Linked DNA regions of Tribolium castaneum. The protein of the gene in region 1 interacts with the protein of each later gene in a pairwise test. Links are inferred from orthologs where the notes say so. Each region holds a gene or a part of one and is shown on either strand. Other genes may lie near its edges.

Region 1 (4,004 bases):
GGGCTGCACCCCATCGATGCACAACCAATGGGACCTCAAAGACACCTCAAGTGGTGCTTTGGCGTTCAAATTTTGCAACAAATCGTTCAAAACCACCTCCTTCTCCTCAATAAAATGAAGCTCACGTCCGCCGCCTGATGCAAAACGGAACGGGAGGCCTTCGGCCGATTGGAAACCGTACTGGGGCTGTAAGACACAATGAGGTTAAATAACCAAAAAGCCCACATACCTCCAAGTTTTTGGCTTTGAGGGCTGCGTCAATGTCGCTCTGCATCAGTTTTGTTCGTTTGGCATGGTGGACGAACTTCGCAGCGTCTTGAATGATGTGTTTCAGTTTAAATGAGATGTCTTCAGCTAGTTCCTTTGCAGCGTCGTCGGGCAAATTTCCAATTCCGATGCTTTCGGCTATTACCTTCATAGATTCGACGGATAAATTCGTTCCGTATAAGTCATTTTCAGCGTTTTTGGACATTTTTCAAGGCAAAAAGGGGGCCAAAAATTGGCATATGCGCTTGTTTTGTTTACCAGTGGTGCCAACTCGAGTGGCACGCACGACGAAAACACCAACACATGCCGCATAACAACAACATTAAAGAACCAAAGTATTAAAGGATCATGAAGAAGAGTGCACTTAATTGATTTAATCGTGTGGGGGAGAAAAAATCACAACGAACAATTGTTTGTTCGAAAAAAACTGACAACAATCGGACCGAAAGCAGGTTCCTGTAAATTTGACGTCACCACAGATTACCATCCGTTCATGGAATCATGTCACTTGTTCGCACACTTGGGTTCAAAAATAGCACAAATGAGGCGCAATTCTGTGATTATAATAGATTTATTTTCAATAGAACTTATAGAATATAAATATAACATTAATAATATTTAAATTTTACATAATGTAATAAATCATAGCACATTAATTAATTGAGTGTGAATCACATTCCAGCGTTAGTAACTAAACCAGTCGGATTCAAAGCAAAGCGGAAATGTCCCAAATTTTGATTAGCCGGTCCTGTCCGACTGTTACCAATTTTTTGCGAGTCTCGTCCAATCCCATCGCTGTAATACTATGCTTAGCATCATGGAATGTGGCTAAAGACACCCTCCTGTAAAAAACTTTAGCAAGACATAACTTCACCACTTGCAACTCACTCTCTATCCCTTAACAAGTGGTGACAAGGGTCACAGACACGCACTGCGAACTCGAAACCCATCGCTGGAATTGTTAATCTACCTGTGGAACATTTCTCGCAAACTGCTTTCCCGCAATGTCTGCAGTGGTGTTGCCGTAAACCCAACTGTCGCTGGTCCATCATGGCTCGGAAGTTCCAAAAGAACGGTCTTCCACACAACTGACATAAATCGGACTCGATCCACTCGGGAGTCTCCTGACGCGTTTGGTTCATGTCCCAGAAGACCAGCACCCCGTCCTCGCCCGCGCTGACCAATTGTTTGGTCGAGTTAAGGTAGCACAAAGCAGAGACCTGTAATATCACATTCACTTGTTTCCACAATTTTGGTAATTTTTGGCACTGTTGCCAATTTAATTTCAAATGCCGATCGCCAACAAAAAACAAACCTTGACCTACGTAACCAATAAACAATTATCTTTGCTTCGGAAAAAATCCAACTGCGGTTGTAATAAACAATGTTTACCTTGTTGTGGTGACCTTGCAGCTCGTAGGCGTTGCCCTGTTGCCCCCCTATGTCCCAAACGATAACAGTTTGGTCGTAGGAGCCACTAAATAACATCTGCCGCTCGCTGTCCCAAGCCAGTGACCTAACAGAGCCCGAGTGCCCCTTCAAAGTTGTGATAACACTAGGGCCCGCATTATCCAATTTTAACATAGTTATTTGACCAGAATAATCCCCAACAAACGCATGTTTGGTTTGTGCATCAAATCTGCAAAAATTAAAGACATGACTCGAAAATTTTCCGCAAAAAATTAGTACTGTAGAGAGGTGCACCAGGCCTCAGCCGTGTAAGTCCCAATGTTGCGGCCGGTTTGTGTGCAATTGTACGAAAACACTTTATCCCTGCTCACGCTCAGAACCCATTCGCAGTTGATGGCAAAAATAATTTCGGTGACTCTTGCCTGATGTGCTAGGTACTCCCGCACTGGCATCATTCGGTTGAAGTCTGATGCCAGCGAGAATTCTGACACGGTCCCGTTTTCCTGTCCTATGAAAAGTTGCCGGGTTTCAACTGTGTAAAAGACCGAAGTGGCCCCACTGGGCATGTACTGGCAAATGCTGGGCCAGTACTGGCCTGAGTCTCGCTTCAACCAAACACGTACCGTTCTAAATCACAAAAATGAGGCGTAAAGACCGGGTTTGGGAGCGACTTACTTGTCATCTGACACACTTATAACCCCATCTTCGCCCGGGATCAAAACGGCGGCGTTTATTTCGTCGCTACAACCTTCCAGTTTTGCCAAAAGGGCGGGCTTTTTCGTTGTGCAGAATTTGTCGTTTGCTTGGGTTGCTGGCTTGATTTCCGCTGCCATTATTAATTAATTTGATTGTAATTATAACACTGTTTTTAGGTTTGACACTTTTGATTTGACAGTTTTACGACGCAGTTGCCGATAACAAGCGTCCCTAACCAACGATAATGTGCAAAGAACCGCAAATGACAATCACACAAACAAGTTACAAACGATAACCCACACGTACATGTCGACCACTTGCGTGGCTCACTCTAATGTTCGCTCACAACGCCAGATCTATTGACAAATTACTTGTCAAACCATTGAGGTTATAGGAAATGGCACCGCCTCCCTTTTTGTGTTAGAAAAAACTTTATTATCAAATAAATAATTATTTTTTACACCATGGAGCCCACAAAAGAACCGACTTTAAGTTTATTTAGCTCGAAGGAGTTTGATGCGGGAAAATGTAACATAATTAATAAGACGTAATCACTTGGTGATAATTAGGTTCTTTTAGATGTTAGGGAATTGTCTCAAAGTTGTGTGGGGGGCCCCGAATTGCGACGCCTCCGTAAAAGAATTCAGTCACTGTCTGAGGACACCAACAACAATTTGAAGCAAAATGTGTACCGCAATTACACCCAGTTTATTGACACTGCTAAAGAAATATCTCGTATTTTTTTAATTTTTACTTAGTTATAAGTCTGACTGTTTTTTGTAGACTTGGAGAGTGAAATGTATCAATTGTCACACCTTTTATCTGAACAAAAATCCTTATTAGGTGCCTTATCAACAACTTCGATTTTGGGCGAAGAAACTCCAGTTATCACAGAAATGGAAAATAGGGACAATCCCAAAGACCAAGGTGACGAAAACCGACAGAAATTAGCCTCAATTTTAGAAAAAGTTGAGGGTTGTAAGGTAAAGTGCCATTTTTTGGCGAATTTTTGTTACTATTGGTATGACTGGTTTAGGAATTGTTGGAAGTCCCTGGAAGGACTTATTTACACGAAGGGGATCTTTTAGAAGTTGACCCTCTCGATAATCACATCATCAAAACGGTCCATGCTTATTTATTTACAGACGGCTTTATGACTACTTGCAGAAATAATAATAGCCGGGGTTTAATGAAATATGTTTTTGAGGTAATGTACGAGTTAGGTAGTCTCGCGGTAGTAAATGTGCGGGAAATTGGTAACAACAAACACCAATTCAAACTATTGATTTTTCCCGACACTCGTGTTTTCCAATGCACTTCTGGCTCAAATAAGGTATTGCGAAAATTTAGTTTGCACAAGTTTACAAAAAAAAATCGTAGAAAGAGTGGTTGGATAAGTTCGACCAGGCCAAAAAAGCCCGTCTCACCCAAGACCAACAAAAACGCGAATCAATCGTGGAAAAATCGCCGTCTCGGTCCGCCTCAATCGATTCCCCTAGCCTCAACCGTAAGTCGGCACCACTGTCACTTTTCCCCTATTTACCCCACTATAGCTTTTGAGGAAATTGAGGACGAGGTCGGGACAGTACACCCGGACTGGTTTCTGGAAATCCCCGAAGAGTTAGACGTTT
Region 2 (2,958 bases), on another chromosome or scaffold:
GTAAGTGAAACAACACGTAAACAAAAATAAGAGATTGAGAGAACATATAGACGAATAAACGTAAAGCGGAGCATAAAACTGAGAGAAATAAGAAAGTAATGCGGCAAAAGGCGCAAATTGTAAACGTAAGAGCATATCCTAATAAAGGCAAAATACCTTCTGTTTTGAGAGAAAAAGAAATGAACGTAAAGGTGAAACATAACTTCAAACTTTAGCGTTGAATCCTTAGATGACTTACTTCTTAAATTATAAAAAAAATAAACGAAAATATTAAATTTATCTCTAAAAATTTTTAGTTAACTGAGTTTGTTTAGTGAAGTCCCAAAACACATTGTTAATAAAAATCATGGCCCCCTACTACTTGTCTTTGTCGCACACTTGGTTTAACTCTGTCGTCTCCTTTAGCCCTAATAATTATGTATTATTAATAAATTAATATCAATAGTAAAAGACAAAATTGTCAGAAGATTGTATATTTTGTATTACCAGAAAGTATAGTTTAATTATTAACCAAAGAAGGTTTTGGAAAATTTATAAACTATCCAACTAAATTTTATCTGTCAAGTAAATTAGCCAAGATTCTTAGGTAGTTTGTAAACAAGCCACCATTTTAGTTGAAACTGCGTTTCGTATTAAAATAATCAATGCTTTGGCTAGTTTACAAACTAAACAGCTAGTTTAAAAACTAGCCAAATTTACACATTAGCAGCAACATATATGCATGAAGATCAGTTAATTTCCGGGTAAATTGTCAATTTTTAAACAATTACGCTATTCTTATACCATTGTATAAGATACATCTTATTCAATGCTTATTTATATATATAGTACTTACGTCAGGCACTGACTCTTAACTCTTCCGAGTTAACTGATTTCAGTTCGTAGATTCGTTGAAGTATCACTACTTTAACTACACAAATTCAAAAAGCACTTATTTAGTTATACATAAAAACACTCACAACAAAACAAAAGCACATATTCTACAGACGAAACAGACTCTCATGTTCACTGTACAGTATTGCTAAAATTGCAAGACGGACCAAAGTCGCCTGACACCTGAGTAGACCAATCAGGGTGCTAGTATCACAGCGCGTAATTTAAAATTAATAATGTATTCACTTGCAAACACACATTGGAAATTAGCGTTAAATCTAAATTTACCAAATGTTTTAAGACAAAAAAAAAATATTTTGCATGTGTTCCAAGTATAACAATCCTAAAACCCCTTCACATTCGACAAAGTACGCATTGGCTCCGCCCACCGAAGTCCATCTTCAACTTCACAAACTCTAGCATTCCTAACAGCCCTCGTGAAATCCCGAAAGCACGAAAGTCGCAATTGCCCGATTTCTGGCACAGTGCAAATGTCAAGCCCATGATGCAAAACTCTAAATAAAACTATTACTCAATAAAATCAGTGAAAATGAATAAAGTGTCGGAATTCGAAATAGCCCCCTTGCGGTCTTTGGACGACTTTCTCCTCGAGTCAGCCCGGTTCCAAATCCCGAACGTCAACGACTTGGAAAAATGGGGTAAAAGAGTCTCCAGCAACTTGCTCTACTACCAAAGCAACTATTTCTTAATGTCACTTATAATCTTCGTCATTGTCGGGTAAGGCGCCCCCAGCCCTCGACCCCAGTTAACGAAACCCCTTCCAGCGTCATCCACCCCACGAAAATGGCCTGTGGGTTCGTGGTCACCGCGGTCATTTTCATGGTGTTTTCCTACATCACCAACGAACGCTTCGCTGCAGCTCAATTCAAAAAGAAACACCCGATTGTCTCACTGTTGCTCATTTTGGCGGGCTGCTACTTCGTCGCCTACATGCTGAAGTCCCTCCTGGTTTTTTTATTCGGGATTTTGCTCCCGATTTCAGGTAGAACAACTTGCCCCCAAATTGAAAATTAATCACTTGTTACAGCCACCTTCATTCACTCGTCTTTACGACTGAGGAACATTAAGAACAAAATCGTCAATCGCGTCGAAAATCTGGGGCTAAAGCGGACCCCCATGGGGATTTTTCTTGAGCAACTTGGGCTTGATCAAGAGGGGTTCTAACCGCGTCAAGTGGCTGAACAAACTTAAACATTTTATCGAAAAAATCCAAACGTTCGTTAAGCGTCTGTTCACGAAGAAAAATGCACCCAAAAAGTGATTCCCACATGCCCTACTCTATTTTTTCATTGCATGGCATTATTATTTCTATTAGTAGTTGTAGTGTTTTTATTTGCATAAGAATTTTAATATATTGTTATGTATTGTTTTAATGTGATATTCTTACCAATGTGTATACGCGCTATCAGTGTGACGTAGACATTTGAGGTAGGTCAGCACCTTAAAGCTAAACAATCGCCATTTTCAATGCTTTTCTTATGGGCATTTAAAAGTTTTTCGTATTTCTTTAATGCTAGAAGTGTAGGAACATTACTTTTACAGAGAAATGATAGCTATGAAAAATGCAATGTCGTTTCTTAAAGATTTTAGCAACTGAGCTAATATTTCTGTAAGTTGAACACATAAATCCTTTTCTAACCTAACTTTTTTCAAACTTCAAAATTCAGTTTTTCTTAATTTGGACATCATATTGATGTAAATTATTATGTGGCCTTTTAAAACTGAGGGAAAAATGGTTTGCCACACTAATGACATTGGATTTCTTCTGAATGACGAATTCATGGGGTGCAACCGGCGCAACCCCAATAAACGGGTTGTTTTCTGTCCCCCTCCCCCATCACGAGGGATGAATAGCAGGTATACGAGGGTAGAGGGTTCAGGCACATACATGGTTGAAAGTAGTACGGGTTGTGAGTTCTGTGCTTCTTTCGTGAGTGTCTTTTGTTATCGTGTTTTTTCCGATCGTTCTCCATATCTTCGTGTTCTTGAATTTTTAAAATTCTGTTTTTCCAAGACATTATCTCATTTTTGTGGTACATCATTAGGTATGATTTGTGAATAATA

The links. The genes of interacting proteins can lie anywhere in the genome.
Region 2: the proteins of Wdfy2 (region 1) and Jwa interact in a two-hybrid assay, tested with the Caenorhabditis elegans proteins (2 studies listed by BioGRID). The link is inferred for Tribolium castaneum from reciprocal best matches to the Caenorhabditis elegans genes wdfy-2 and praf-3.

Annotation. Positions count from the first base shown.
Region 1 is NC_087398.1:812,791-816,794, reverse strand, and holds Wdfy2 (WD repeat and FYVE domain-containing protein 2), read right to left. Parts: upstream 2,601-4,004; 5' UTR 2,511-2,600; coding exon 2,353-2,510; intron 2,305-2,352; coding exon 1,957-2,304; intron 1,907-1,956; coding exon 1,660-1,906; intron 1,488-1,659; coding exon 1,156-1,487; intron 1,110-1,155; coding exon 974-1,109; 3' UTR 820-973; downstream 1-819. Other genes in the region: Taf6 (transcription initiation factor TFIID subunit 6), read right to left, coding at 1-186, 230-472; Exo84 (exocyst complex component 8), read left to right, coding at 2,838-2,901, 2,953-3,108, 3,157-3,356, 3,410-3,706, 3,754-3,880, 3,927-4,004. UniProt on the Caenorhabditis elegans protein: Plays a role in coelomocyte endocytosis.
Region 2 is NC_087403.1:1,986,031-1,988,988, reverse strand, and holds Jwa (PRA1 family protein 3), read left to right. Parts: upstream 1-1,318; 5' UTR 1,319-1,423; coding exon 1,424-1,611; intron 1,612-1,658; coding exon 1,659-1,876; intron 1,877-1,921; coding exon 1,922-2,058; 3' UTR 2,059-2,263; downstream 2,264-2,958. Other genes in the region: uncharacterized protein LOC135267207, read left to right, coding at 2,600-2,939.